Linked DNA regions of Lepisosteus oculatus. The protein of the gene in region 1 interacts with the protein of each later gene in a pairwise test. Links are inferred from orthologs where the notes say so. Each region holds a gene or a part of one and is shown in the gene's direction. Other genes may lie near its edges.

The links.
Region 2: the proteins of usp54a (region 1) and atxn1l interact in binary tests that used the Homo sapiens proteins (3 or more experiments, as listed by UniProt). The link is inferred for Lepisosteus oculatus from reciprocal best matches to the Homo sapiens genes USP54 and ATXN1L.

What each region holds. Positions count from the first base shown.
Region 1 is NC_090699.1:45,968,235-45,976,063, forward strand, and holds the start of usp54a (inactive ubiquitin carboxyl-terminal hydrolase 54a), read left to right. Parts: upstream 1-4,495; 5' UTR 4,496-4,818; intron 4,819-4,826; exon of another isoform or gene 4,827-5,047; intron 5,048-7,829.
Region 2 is NC_090715.1:9,891,736-9,899,838, forward strand, and holds the start of atxn1l (ataxin-1-like), read left to right. Parts: upstream 1-4,906; 5' UTR 4,907-5,053; intron 5,054-8,103. UniProt on the Homo sapiens protein: Chromatin-binding factor that repress Notch signaling in the absence of Notch intracellular domain by acting as a CBF1 corepressor. Binds to the HEY promoter and might assist, along with NCOR2, RBPJ-mediated repression.

The sequences.
Region 1 (7,829 bases):
GCAAGCAATGGAGACAAAGCAGAGCATATCCTGAACAGGGAGCTAGTCAATCACAGGGCAGACAGACACAAACACACACACTCACTCACTCACTCACTCACTCACTCACTCCAGTGCCAGTTTTCCCAGAAGCCAGTTAACCTACAGTACCAGCTCGCCTTTCGACTGTGGAAGGAAAGCCGAGCACCCAGAGAAAACACACACAAACACGGGAAAACATACAAACTCCACACAGACAGCACCCCAGGGCTGAAATTCATCCCAGGACCCTAGTGCTGCAAGGTAGCAATGCGCTAACTACTGTGCTCCTCTGCTACCACGTCAGCAGAACTCCTCTAAATAAAATTAGTAATGACTGAATTGATTTGACTCAGGTAGTTTGGTGGGAATTAAATTAGGATTGTGAAAGATAAGAATTTAAAGGAGCCGTATCATCTGGAGAAAACCGGAGTTCTGTCAAAAGCCACATCAGAAGATACTTATCATGATCACGGCATTTAATTGAGCAGCCGCAAGACTGTTCTCTCCGCGCCCAGCCTAGAGTGACACTGATCTGTCTGCTAGAGGGCTTTATCGCACTCGCTGGCAAATTACCACCCGCCTGCGGGATTCCAAATTCATCAGCATCGGACTTCTAAATTTAACACGCTTCTGTGTTAAATCAGAGCGGCACCTCACCCAGGCTCAGAATACGAACCCTGAAACGGTTCCCCTCACCGTGCAGATATAGAGGACTCCCCAGTATTGTCCCACTTCGGCCTTCGGCTGTAGTAGCGCAAACATTTGTTTTATTGAAATCATGAAGATCTTGTTGGTGGCTGAGGTGCACGTTTTCAGGGCTGTGCGTCAGCTGTACGATGCTGTTACAGAAAGCCGCCTTGTAAAGTCTGTGCTGAACCTGCCCACTAGAGGACGCTAAGGGACACTATGGACCAGAACCACAGTGACTACAGCTCAGGTTCCACACGTTGGGTTGCGTCTAAGCCTCTTCCCGATCATCAACACAGAAACAGAAAAGTATAGGAGGATCCATAAAGGCAGTTTTTAAATTTCACTAGCTCCCTCTCAACTGTTATGATCTTAATGGGAGCTGTGTAAAGTATTTTTGACATTATTAAATTATAGCATAGAAAACCTATTTACTGTATATGTGTAGCTCAATATAACGATTTGTACATCAAAACAGCCCAATGAACTGACTTTTGATGTCCTTTATTTCATCTCGATACTGAATATTTTAGGGCCTTCTGTGAAAATGGGTAATGTAAACTAAGACATGTTATTACTATAAGTTTTATTCCTACTTTTCATTCTTAAGTCATGCCTGCCTAAGTAGTAATAAAAGGAACTCTGAGATGATAAACTGAATTATTTATTTTTATAATAATTTGGAGCATGCACAAAATACTCATAACTATTAGTAGAGTATTAGTAGTATACTCATAACTACCTTAAAGCGCTTTGAGTGGAGTGTCCAGAAAAGCGCTATATAAGTGTAAGCAATTATTATTATTAGTGTAGAATGACCTGCTTATTCTCCATTTCAAAACACATTCCTGCACAACTTAATATGGTTTGAAAAGACATTGTAGCAATCTCAGGTTTGTGCAGAAAAAAAGAACCAGACAAGACTCTAGTTTGACACACAAGCACCTTTTATTAAACCTCCATCAACCTGCTATGCACAACAGAGACAAACTTGATCTCAGGGTTGTCACATATACCAGGGAGGTAAACGGGACACGTACACAGATTCAGGGTGGTTACACATTGAAGGACAACAGACAATAACACAGGTAAACACTAAACTGCTGTTTATACAAATGTGGGATTATTTACATTGCTCATTGCTCTCATGCACCATCCCCTGGCTATAACTCCCAGCCTGCCCTGCGGCACATGCACTACCTGGGTGATCCTCCTCCTCATCACCTGACGAGGGTGCTACACTGCCCTGACCTGCAGCATGCGGTGTCCTACCAATGTCGAACAAACCCCGTAGGCTATATTCGCACTCCACAAGCTGCTGGGGAACCCTGTGTGACCGCCCACTGTGATGTGGTGATGGCTGGCGACCCGTCACCGCTGGGCAGTTCTGGCCCTGGGCACCTCTGCCCTAGCCTGATAGGGTGCCACGCAGTCCCAGTGCAGGACCACCACCCTCCCCCACTTTCACAACCAGACCTGGTAGGAGACCTCACCCACCAACCCCGGACCTGGCTGGGCCCCTCCCATGATGACACCATCTTAGGGCTGAGGCCTTTTCTGCGGCACTGTTTATAGACCCCAACCAGGTCCCCAGGCCCGTAGGCAGGCCCCCTGCAGTGCAGGTCGTAGTACTATATATTATATTGAGCTACACATATATGCTTCTACTAGACTCCCGCCTGTCGGGTGGGTCCGGGCAAAGCTGTGTACCTGACGCATTTGCTGCCGGTGGTCCTACTCATTGTCTGGTCTGGCCGGCGGTACCGGCTCGTCCCCAGGTGGAGAACCGAAGGCCAGGTCCACCAGGGTACAGTGTCTGGAGGTTTGGCAGGGCCTGGTCGAAGCTCGCAGCAGGGACAATCGTCCAGGTAGACAATGCACTGGCTCCTCGGGATCGACGCCAGCATCTGCTCCATCAGCCGCTTGAAGGTCGCCGGGGCGTTGCACAGACCGCACGGCATGACAGTGAACTGCCAGAGGCCTCGGCTGATGGAAAAGGCCGTCTTCAGGCGAGCGTCGGGAGCGAGCGATACCTGCGAGCAGCCGTAGTGGAGGTCGAGGGAGTTAAACCAGGTCGACCCGGTGATGTAGTCCAGGGCGTCTATCCTCAGCAGGGGATAGGAGTGCTTCCGGGTGACCCCATTCAGCTATCGGTAATTGACACAGAACCTCCATGAGCCGCCCTTCTTCTGGACCAACATGACCGGGGCAGACCACGGGCTTGCGGAGGGCTCGATCACCCCTGCTGCGGCCACCTCCCTGATCTTCTCCTTGGCCGCGCTCTGCTTGGCGTGAGCCATGCGTTCTGGCGGGATGCAGATGGGCCGAGCGGTGCATGGCCAGATGGGTGTGGGCACTTCGGCTCAGCAAAAACCCTATGGTATTTCTATAGGGGGCTCTGTCACCAGGACGTTGAGCAGAAGAGTCCCCATGAGCACTCTTGAGTCCCTCTCCTGCAATATCAAATGAGGAAGGAGCTGCACAGCAACTATGGCGCAACTTTGAGTCCCAGGTTTTCGCCAGGGTGTGCCAGAGCCTGGGGATCAACAATAGGTGGACCACTCTGCAGCATCCCCGGAGCGATGGGTTAGTGGAGCGCTTTAACCAACTGCTCTCCACCAATCTGGCCACCCTGGTCTCCCAGCACCAGCAGGACTGTGACTACCACCTCCCCCTCACACTGTGAGCATACCAGACTGCGGTCCGGGAGTCTACAGGGTGCACTCCAGCTTCCCTGACGCTGGGGAAGGAAATGGCCTGGACCTGGCTCTCTGTTTTCTACCCAGACTATGAGTGGGATCTGCAGCAGCAAAGGCATTAAACACACAGCTTTGCTGGGACCCACCTGGCACAGGCAGGAGCAAAAACAGCACTATGAGCCGTACTACAGGGGGTCTACCTACCGGCCTGAGAATCTGGTTTAAATCTACCACCCATTCTACCACAACTCACACTCAGTGATGACACATACACTAGGGTGATAAATGGAACACAAAGGCAGTGTCAGAGTGGTTACACATTAAGGGACAATAACAGAGAATAATACAGGCAAACACTAAACTGCAGTTTACACAATGCGATTGGGATTATTTACATGAGCAGAATGACCTAGTGGTCACTCTCACGCACCATCCCCAGGCCCCTGGTGCCATAACTCCCAGCCTGCCCGGCGGCGCATGCACGACCCGGGTGCACCCCGCCGCATCACCCGAGGAGGAGGTGTTATGTATGTTACGTATTTTTAAAATAATTTTCGTGTGCATTTTTTCTAAAATTATTCCTCATATAGCATTGAAACGGTACAAATTTAAAACAGATGCTCAATGTTTCAGACTTTGAAGGAATGTGCGAGTTTGGGACAGAAGGATTACAGTTATGTATCAGTTGAAAATGGCCCAAAGCACAGATTTATCCCACAAGTGAGTAAATTTCGACTCTGGGGAAACTTCAGCTGTAACATTCTCAGAGATCTGCAACCAGAGAGTCCATTTCAGGGGGTCAGCCAGACAACCAGTGGGGGTCAAGAGAGAACTTTTCATCCCAAGCAGCGCCTGAGATTCACCATCTCACAGGGGCGTCAAGTCATGCTCGATACTGCAGTCGGCAGGATTGTTTACAGGAAGTACACACTTCAATTGTAATAGGATTAAACCACATCCTTATTCAGAGTAATGTCTTTAAAAGCCGTCTTCCATCAAGAAATGGCTGCAAACCCTTGGATTTCATATTTCACTACGCACCCTGATTTGTTACATTACAGTACAGGCGTTTTGACTAGAGACTCCCCCGCTCCAAATGATATTGCTACTTTCTGGAACCACGATATACAGTACAGTACACCGCCACTTATGACGGAGCGAGGGGCTGCGTGTGAGATACACCGATCTCACACACAGCATCGCTCACGCTTTAGACCGGAGGGAGTAACTCACGCGCAGCACCTCTCTCTCTCCCGGGCCCGGGCGCGCAGATCTCGCGAGAGGCGGTTGCCTTGGCTGCAGCGCTGGGTGAAGCTGGCGGGTGAGGGCTGCGCGGCGGTGATTATTGCACCCGAGTCCTTTCGGGCAGCGGGGGGTCGGCAGTGCGCGGGGGCTCCAGCGCGAGTGCGAGGTGAGTACGGAGGCTCTTCTTAGCCCGCTTAACTACGACGAAACGAACCAGAGAGCTGGGGGAGGCTCTGTTTTGGCTAGACTTACGAATGTCATGCTAGGACGAACATCAGCACAGTGGGATAAACTGTGGGACAAGTGCACGGGAGACAGACTGAGAATGACATTAGCGCCTGATGCCTGTGCCACTGGCGTCTGAAGATGCTGTGTGAGCGAGTGAGCGCTACGCAGTAAGTATCAGCGAGTTAAAGCTATCAACGATTGCCCGCTTCCATCTGTGGGTAACCCACATGCAGCGCCAGTCCCGATAGACGGCTATCTAGTTTAGCTTGGCTTTAAAGATTAAGCCAAACATCGGAATAATAGGTGTCAAATGTGTAATTAAGCGATTTTTTCTTACAGGTTAATTTAGAAATTAAATAATATGCATCATTGCGAGACTTAATGCGTGCTCTCAGGACTAGTCTTATTTCTATATATTTACCCAGAGAATGTGTGTTTCGCTGCAGTTAGGAATAGGGATTTTTTGATTGCATGGACAGTTGTCGGCCTGTGGAGTATCCTGGGTCTTGCTGGGGGTTTATGGCGTAGTCCTTTGCTGTAGTTGATGAAACTGCGCACCGCATGGCTGTCCTGCGTCCCGTGCCCCGCCGCGCGCTGCGTGTTTCGCCGTGACACGACTGTATCTCCGTAGGATCGGGGTGATCGGGGGTGCTGACCAGCAGTGACGCCGCTGAACGGACAGTGGCTCGACTCCTCCTGTGTTTGTAATAGCTGGGATGTAAACACTCATTTGTGCTGATGGGCTGACGTCAGCGGTCCACCCCTTCACTTCATAAATTAAACTTTGTCTTCGGACGTACGTTCCTTAAACAACCATAAATGTGCGTTCATCCTGAGGGAAATCGATAACGGTTTCTGATACACGGTTATTCCCGGTAATGAGCAAGAACTGCCTTTTGCTGTGTTTCGGCCTGACACTGCTCCTGACTGTAAGGATGATACTGGCCCAGTACTGTACTTGAGCTGCTGACGTATTTAAGAACTGTTCTGCTCTGCTAGTACTCTATAAAGCTAATTCCCTTGACCGTATTATTGCAATGCTTTTGTTTTACGACACGCGGGATTGGATTTCGTCTTTTACAGAGTTTTCAAAACTTTCCGGATTGATAAAACAGCCACATCTGCAAACAAATACACTACTGACTTTTTAAGCTTCGTGGATCCGCTTTCTCTGCCCTCATATAAAAAAATACGATTAGGCAAAATAAAGTCAGTCTCGTTAGTAGCTTTGTAATCTTTGTTAAAACAGATCGCCCAGTGTCCGCTTGCCTGTGGCTGCGGGCTGGAGCCTCAGAAACGACGAGTCAAGAACGTGCGGTGTCACGAGGTTTGCTATGGCAACTGTGGGACTAACGGCGGTGCCTCGTAGGCTGCAGGAGAGTGACGGGTCGTTTTACCTTTTTAAATTACTGCGACCTGCTTGGTTGGCTGTTGTACTAAATAAACAAGCGAAACAATTCCCGAGTAGTTTCCAAAATAATTCCTTTGTTTTGTTTACTGTGTTTCTTTTAATCGAGTTCGTGCGGTTAAATGCTGATTTGAGTCAGCCATGAGTTATACATACTGTAGTTAACCGTTGTACGAGATGCTGCGGCACTTTGCTGTTTAATTGTTTTACAATATTTCTGGTGTGTGCCTTTTATTGTGTGGCGATTGTGTATAATTTGTTTCGCTGATATGGAGCTCAAAAGTAATGCATTTAAAATGAGAGTAGGACTAGGATGTCATAATGAAGACTGAATAATTGCCTCTGCATATACAGCTTTTCATTTTAAGGATCCCAAAGTGCTTTACGTTTAGAAAGGGACCCTAATTATTCCCCAGCTTCAGTGCAGCCCGACCTGGGTGACACACAGCAGCCCCACTACACAGCAGATCAGGGAGAGAGAGAGACTGGGGAATGGGAGCCTGCTTTACCATCTGAATTAAGGGGCATCTTTAGAGAGGCTGGATTGTATAACTCCAGGGTGGATTATAGCCAGCACACTGAGATTAACACCCCAACTCTTATGAACAAAGTGCTCTTGTAAACATTCACCATGGCAAAAGTGGTTGATAATTTGTAGGTCATACTATGTTTTTCTCAATATGGTATTTGTTTCTCTTGTGTTAGTGTCCTTTTCCCCTGTGCTGTTTTGCACATTGCTGTGCTTTAACCAGGGGACATGCCGTAACTGTTGATAACGGTATCTCCTCCTGACCTGGCCTACTGTATCAGTGCGGCAGAGCCACAAAACAGGCCTTGTCTTCATATTCACAGGGATTCCTGCTTGGAGGAGAGCAGGGTGTCAGCATGTGAGATAGGAACCGTGAGCCTGGCAATTTGGAAACCTTCCTCTGGACTTTATTGTTTGGTACAAGCTGCACTTGTTACATAATGTGATTCTGAAGCTGCAGTTAAGCCCCTTTACTACTGTATGTCAGTTATAGATTTTTCTAACATGGATGGAAGGCTGATTGCCCAGCCTGCTCTGTGAAATAGATGTGACTGAGCTTGAGCAAACGCCTGTCCTGCTGGACAACTGGGGCCCTTGTGCACTATGTCAGACAACGTCACACTCTCCTTGGTATTGTGCCGCAGTCTCCAGATTCAGCGGTCGTTGTGCCTCTGTGTCATGGCGGCTGTCCCCTCCCACTGCCCACTGTGCTTTCCTTCAGCCTGTGACTGCGGCCATTCTGGTAAAGTACTGGGCGGGTCCGAGGCAGAGCCTGTGCATGAGTGCCTTTCCTCTCTCGTTGTCGAGCTGCAGCACGGAGCAGGGTGCTGGGCGCAGGGCGCAGGAGTGGGGGGGGCGACGCCAGGTGAGCAGCCAGATTGTTCTGTACAAGGCTGGGCTGAGTAAATTGCCATGTTGCTAGGCACCTCAGCTCAGGCTCTAGCCTGGCGCTGTTAGAGAGAGGCTGGCCAGGAGGGGAGGGCAGCGAGGGGGCGAGCTCTCTGTGAAGAAA
Region 2 (8,103 bases), on another chromosome or scaffold:
ATGGAGTGCATAGAGTGTACCATCTTGATGTTACTTCACTATTATCTACAGCTGCAACACTTCCTGGTAATTGCAAGCTCAATCTATTGTGTATCTCTGCTCAGAGGACAGCAGAAAGGTCTGTGTGTAGAAACATGCTTATTTACACAGTTAAACGGGATAAAACAAAAGATACATCCTGACTTTACTTTGGACCACTACAGGAGCTTTTGACGTCAGTCAAATCTACCCATGCAAATAAAACTGAACTTTTGTTTTTCTACTGTATATAAATGTTATTAGGCATTTAGCTGTGCATGAATATTGCAAAAAACTAGTTGTTTGTCTTGGGTTAAAAACATTTATTGCAGGAAACAGTATTAGAGAATAATGAAATACAGAAGGTAGAGGGATAGACAAAAGAGAACCTTTAGAGAATGGGGCAGAGAAAGAGGAGGGGGCAGACCGGTGGGGGATGGACTTTTGACCCTGGACTGTCCATGACTGTCCAGATGATGTTCAGAGGGAGCAAACCGGCCTACAGTGAAGGACTCCCAGTCCCTGTGCTATACTGTCACATTGTTCTAAAATTGTTTTTAAAAACAGCTTGAGTTGATCTGACAAAAAGGAAGTTCTACCACAAATTTTATCTGCTGACAGGAAAGTTTCAGAAGGTCGTCTTGTAGTCAAATTCGGTCACTAAGCTTATCTCTACCTCTATGAGGGTTTGAAACTAGAGCTCTCTCACTGTTAATATATCTGTTTTTACATACGGTGAGACATTTACTTTCTTTATTTGAATTTGTTTATAAAATTGAAGGTTTCTTGCCCAGACATTGCTAAATGAGTCCTTTAGCAATGTCAGTTATCAAAAGTAGGGGGTTTACAAATACAGCAGTAATGATATAGCAAATGTCGAGAAAAATCCTAAAGCTGCATTATATTTAGAATTATGCCAGAGATGTGGTTAATCAAACAATATAGAACAAGGGGAGAGGTGCAAGATGGAAATCCTTGACTGAACTGCGTTTCCCAAAGGTCTATGAAGAATGATCATCACCCCTGTTCAGGTGGGGGGGAAACGACTGGTACAAAGTCTGCGGTTGGGATCCTGCTGTCCTGTATCTCACTGAGGTTTCACAGGTCTCCTGGACATTGCTACTCTTGGCCACATCTGAACAGGGATACAGCTAATGAGAATAAAACAAAAGAAGACTTGTTTTAATCGTGTTAATGGAGACCAGGCGAATTTAGGTAGGTCAGTTCCAGAGCTGATGTTTCCTGGTCTGAAAGTGTGAGCTCACAGGCCATCAGGACATTCACGCTTGGAGTCAGAACGCAGTGCCATGATCTGGACAGTGGAAATACATGAAGATGGCAGAATGTGTTAAGGTAACTGGGCAGAAGACGTGCAGCCATCATTCTTTGTCTCTCACTGGAAAGGTGATCCTGAAGTGCAATTTCTTGTCTCTTTAGAAAGAGATCATACGGTCCTTTTAAGAGCCTTCTGACATACACAATTGCTCTGTAAACCTTCACAGTCATGCTGTATGCAGCAAAAAAACATCCAGCTGGAGGACCTTTAGCAATCAGCTGTTATCTAAGATAAGTCCATTAAGCAAACCAATCAGACGGCTTTTAATAGAGCGCTATTATTATATTGTCAAAAGGTGTACAACAAGGTCTTGGCAAGCGCTTTCTGCTGGTGTGGAAATGGGAACTGTGTTTGAGCTGTTACTGTGAACAGTTTTATATGTTAAAAAAATCCTTTAGAACTGTCTACCTGATTGAGAAACAGATGCTGCTGAGAGCTCCTCAATCTGAAAGAGGCAACATTTTAAAGTAAGTTCTGGCTGGAATATTCTGTGACTGACTTATATTATACAAGTGAAATCAAAATGTCTTCTGCTATTGGATTCACTTTCTCTAACGTCCTCCTGGAGGAGATTACAATGTCTGTATTAAAACAGACCAAGGACTTGAAAAAAAAAACCTCTATTTGATTTTGTTGCTGAAACCGGTACCGATAAATCTGTTCTGGAAGGTGTGGGACTACAAGCAGAACATCTAGGCAGAGGACTTCCCCTCTAAACAGAGGAAAGTGAAGAACCGTGCAGAGGCTATCCCACAGAGCTGCCTCCACTGCCCCTGGCCCCTGCTGTCCTGCAGTCTGGCTTCGAGCCCTGGTGACTCAGTGTGGCTGCAGAACTGAACACCCCCCTCTCCTTCACTATTAATTCTCCTCCATACTGAGTCTGCTAAACATCACACCTACCTGTGCCTCAAACAGATAAGTAAGGGATAAATGAGATGCACATACCAACAACAGTGAGCAAGATGATCTGTCGTTATCTCTTTTCTTACAACGTTTATGCAGATTTTGTTCTTCAAATTTAACGGTTCCAGAGAGAGGCTTAAGTAAATTAGCCTATTATTTTCTTCCTTCCTCTGAAACAGGTAGATATCTTTCATCAATTGGCACAGCAATTACTCATGAGATAAATAAATATTCCAATTGTGCCCTTCTTCATTTTACATATATTAATGTTCTAAAAGGAAAATGTTATGTCAGGTGTATGTACACTTTATTACATAGAAATGCAGTATGCAGTAGAATGCATTGACATACACATGAAGGCACAGCAAAATAAAAAAAAACAGCATTAGTATTTTTACACGCATAACATTGTAAAAAGGAGATAGTAAATATTGAGCATCAAAAGAAATGTGTTGCATTTATCATTTGTAAATGCAAGAAATACATAACAGTTATTGGGAAAAGTACTATCTTTTGCAGTAGCTCACTGATAGCGAGAAGTGACTTAGTTCTTCAATAAATCAAAGTTGCTCAAGTGTATCATAGTAGGTCATGTGTGGTCTTACGAATTATACCAAAAGTATTTAATCCATATATCCAAAATCGACATACTTTATTTAATGCAACCAGATTGATAGGTTTCTCTTGATTTTCTGCATATGCCATAGAGAGGCAGTTTATTCACAGATCAATTTAAACAGTTAATTATAAGTTAATTTAGAGTTCTTTCACTTGTTCATTTACAATAATTCTAGTGGGTAATGTCTTGTTCAAAAGGAGACCTAAATTAACATTGTTTCCCTAGGATATAATCCATATTTTAAAACTGCTTTAAAACACAAAAAGGAAATCATATTCTAAACTTTTCTAAACAGGAAATACTGATAACACTACAGAGCTTTTCTGTTGACAACATCTGTCTTCATTCTTCATCTTTGACTGGGTTAAACCATGACTATAAAAACAAAGAGCAAAGGCAAAGGGACTACAAAAAAAGCCAGAGAAACAACCCTGACCACTGCTAAACAAATCTGATAGTCCTTGATTCTCAAACAACGTCAGTGCAGAGAACCACCTGCGAATATAGCCTCACAATGAAGGGCATAATAAGCCTGGTGTTTGTATAGCTTTCACAGACTGTACAGTGTGTGCTGATCATATAATGCCACAGTTTGGAAGAAAAATCAAATAGACAAGAACCATGCTTACAATCTCTACAGATAAAGACAAATGTGGAATTTAGTAAGTGGCAGGATAATTACTGTGAGACTAAAGATTGACAACAGACACAAGGACAGAGTGAGAGAGGAACAGCACTATATACAATGCTGTCCCTCTTTCATAGTATCATGAGGCACCACATTACCTAACTGAACCAGACATACATACAGTATAATATTTCTGTCCACACTTGAGATTCTTCACCTTGCATTCGCCTGGGTGATTGAATATTAAATTAATGCATTCTTAACATCCATCATCATCGAGTTCAGGATCAATCATTGTGCTGTAAATAAGTGGCTGCCACGTGGCATAATAACATTATTTTGATGTAATGAATAGGAAACATTTTTTTTCATGTTATAGGAAAATAGGAAACAGTTTTTTTTTCGACTAGGGAAGAGGAAAAACATTTAGGTTGCAAGGACTGCTTGTTGATAGGGAAGATAGCTGGTCCCGTAGCTACCAGATACTTCGAGAAACGTGCACATCTTTCATGTTAATCCGCTTCAGTATACAGGCAAAGTAAAAAAACCCATTGTGTCTCAAAGAGGCTGGCAACTGGTAATTACTGTATTTAGGTCAGGGAAAGCCAGGCTGGTCACTGATTCTGATATATGAAACCAAGTAGTTCGCATTCGTCTAAATATAAATCATTTCAGTTACGAGCAGTTGGGGGGGATGCTTTGAGGATCTCAAACTTGGAGTTACCCATCCACGATTTAGGTCACCCGGTAAATTTAAAAATGTGTTGCGGTTACTAATGGAATATATTAGTCGGATCAGAGAGCCGTCGTCACGTAAGGAATTAGTACAGCCCTACTGTTGAAACTTTTTAAAATAGTTTTCACATAAAGAGAACAGTTATTTTGTGATTACCGTCACCGGTGCTGCAGAAGTAGCAGCACTACTTAAAAAATAAATACAATTTTACAAAGATTGTACAACGGCTCCCTCTTGCGGTACAAATGTGAAGTGATTGTCTAGCCAAAAGAAGATTCAATATCACATTTACTTCCTTGGATGAGTGTCATTGTCTCACAGGACGGTTACAAAATGAAATATTGAATGCCACTGCAACTAAAGAGATCCTGAGGATCTCGCAAAACTCTATGCATATGAGACACATAGCAGAAAAACCTGGAAGAATATGGAAACGCAGCAAATTGCTGATTAATTTCCATTACAACCATAATATAGAAATGATGTGTGGCAATGTCATGTTTCAGGAAAAAAAAACATTTTACTACGACAAACCTCTGACTGTTAGACCTCCAATCCGTAGGGGGAACTGGAGAACATCCTCGTCGAAATCTTCGTCTCGTTTCCCAATGCACTTTGTGCTTTAGCAGTGAGATCATTCAGGAAGCTGGAGTTTCGAGCGTGACGTCATCCCCAAGCGCCGCTGTGGTTTCGCCTGCTGGGTTGCATTGAGATGGGCAGAACTTGTCAACTCTGATTCGACCAGCATTTAAATTGAATTAACTGACAAACAGACAAAAACCAAGAGCTGGATGACCAGAATGAGATGTCGAGGTAAGAGCTGAGCCAAACTCTTTGACTAGAAATCTGTAGAAAAGAAGTCAAAGATTGTGAGCGAGAAAGACAAACAGAACTAAAAAACTACCGTGGATTGTTTTGCTCGGCCTTTCTATGTGATCGCCACCGCACTGTTTTAAGAAGTTTTTCATGGTACATGTTGTTCGGGCTAAGAAAATAATGTAAGCATTAAAAAAAATAACAGTTCCTTGACATATCAGTGTGCGGGAAAAATGAACGCTGTCAATTGTAACAGCGAGAACCAAGTCAACATTATTGTTGCGGTTTAGCGACCATGTTAACTAATTTTAAATTGTATTTTTTAATAATGAAAAGTGTATCTGCTTTTATCGTTGTTATTAGTAATAGACTAGGTACAATAACAGTAAAAACAGTTGTAGTGGTGGAACAGATGCATTGTCAAATTGATGAGTGTGTAATAGGGATGTCTGTGTGACTTCACTCAGGCTAGTTCATCGGGATTTGCACAAGTCTGTCTTTACCGGTAGTACTAGTGGTAGTAAAATGTGCGGTGAAGAGTCCGCCCTCTCCTTTATGCGTCTCGTTTCTGACCCTCATGCTATTCGTCATCGCCCGAGTCTCTGTCTGGGGAAGAACGATTCACAACATTTTTCTGTTAGTCATCAGAATCGGCAGCGAGCTCTCTGTCTTAGCGGTTTACGTGGGTGTAATCAGATTTCTAGTGAACAGTGAATATCACTTCATTCACTACTGTCAAAATCTCAGTGCGGCAGTGGGAAGATATGACTGGAAATCACTGATGAGCCCAAAACAAACGTATGGAAAAGCAGCTCGTGGCGAGCTTCTTGCTTCTGTGAATGTGCAAGAAATGTGACATAACTGAGTGAGTTTTAAGTCATTTTAGGTGCCAAGTAACTTTTTAAATAGTATTTGTCAGCGTGTCATGTTTGTAATTCTTTTGTGCAGTTAAAGCACAAAAGACTGCACAAAAAAAGTTTTTTGCACTAAGAAGTCCCTTACTGTTTAACGTCTGCACTACGTCATTTGTTAAAATCGGGATTTATAGATTATTTTTTTCAAATGGAATTGTAGGAAAGGTAAAATCCGTTAATTAATAATAAAATGTGCTCTGTGTCTACTCCTGACAACTTTTATAGGCTAACTGTTTAATGTATATAATAGTGGGAACACAAATTCAACATTTTAGTTCCTGTTTATCCCATAGGGTGAGAAAGTCACCTGGTGACATATAATAATTAAAGACAAACACCTCAAGAGCATGCTGGAATTTTTATCCTTGTATATACTGTATATACTGTCACTCCTTCCAGAAACAGTAGAAACAATATGCATTTCACATCGCTTAATATTCTGAAGTGATCCTTGAACATTTCTACAGTCAGCAGAAATGAATGTTATTGACCCACATACTGTACCTTGTAAATAGCTTTTTGAATATGGGTCTGTTTTAATGGCTGTGACAAATGGAGGAGAAATGGTACACAGGGACAATTCTGAAGTCTGAAAAGGACCAGTAAGTGAATTTAGAAAAACAATCAAAAAGGTTGTGAACTTGAATTATTTTGTGAGGGTTCGTCTTTTCTCTGCGCAATCTTACAGTCTGTCTGTTTGTGCGTACTGGTTTTCCACAAGGATGTATACTTTCCCCATTACTCTTTCTTGTACACCAATGGCAATACCTCAAGTGACTCTTCCATCAAACTAATCAAGCAGCGGAAGACACCATCCTTGTAGGTCTATTCACAAATGAATATCATAATATGATATTGGTATCATAGAGTAGTAACAAGCACACAAAGCTTAATACCTTCCATACAGTGAAAATGCTGGTTGCTTACTGGAAACATTCTCCAAAACCTCAGTCCCTAGTAATCAATGATGTGGCTATGGGTGTGATAGAGTTCTTTAGTTTTGGGGTATAATGATGTCTAATAACCTTACATGGGACACAGATATCTCCAGTATCACAAAGAAAGCACAGCAGCAAATGTACTTTTTGCCCAAACTGAAAAATTGGGGTCTCTCAGCCAATTGTAATACAGGTTTACAGAGCCATTATTGAGAGCATTCTGACTGCCTCTGTAGCTGTTTGGTTTGGCAATGCGTCTGTCCACTCATGAGGGGAACTGCAGACACACTGCGGCCTTTGGCTGTCAGATGCTCTCTACTGGAGATTCTAGAGCAAGAAAGCAGGCAGGAAAGACTGCTGATGACCCCACCCAGGTTAACCCCTGTTTCAGAAACGTCCCTCAGGAAGACACTACTAGTCTATTAAAACAAGAAACACCTGGTATTTGAACAGATTCTTTCATGGGGCTGCCTTTCTGGTTCACCAAAATTCCTAGTTGTGTGTGCTTTTAGTCATGTCTGTTGTCTTGTTTGTGTATGGCATACAGTATGTAGCATGTTTTTGATGCATCAAGAACACCAGAGGAAATTCCTTGTAAACTAAATATACTTGGCGAATAAAAGTGATTCTGATTCAGATGTGTATTCGTGGCCACAATCACTGCTCCATTGTATGTTACTATTTCTGTATATGTTCTATATTTTCTGTTCATTTTTTTTGAACAACTGATGTGATGTACTAAGGTTTGTTTCAAAAAGATTGAATTACCTGTTGATGTTGATTTAAAACTAAAAGCTTTTTTAAAAGCAAAGGTTGCTCCTTATGTCTGCATCATCCTGTCTAATCGTGGCTGTAGCCACTCTCCTCCAGCATCTTTCAGAGGAAACATCTAGGATAATAAGTAGGTATTATTACTTGACAACGTATTGCACACATTTGTCAAAGTCAGAGAGATTTGCACTGAATGAAATCATGATCATTTTCTGACTGTGGAGTCCTGAAAGGTCATTAGTTTGACTAATGTTCTTTCCATTACAATCTTAACCAGCCTTCCTGTAGGCCTTAAGAGTAGTATAGACTGTGAAGTGTCTTACAATCCTCTCTGTTGATTTTAATCTTATTTCTGTACTTTGGCGTGATAATTTCATAGTCCTACTTTATACTGAATAGGAAAGTAACAGAAGAGGCTATTCGG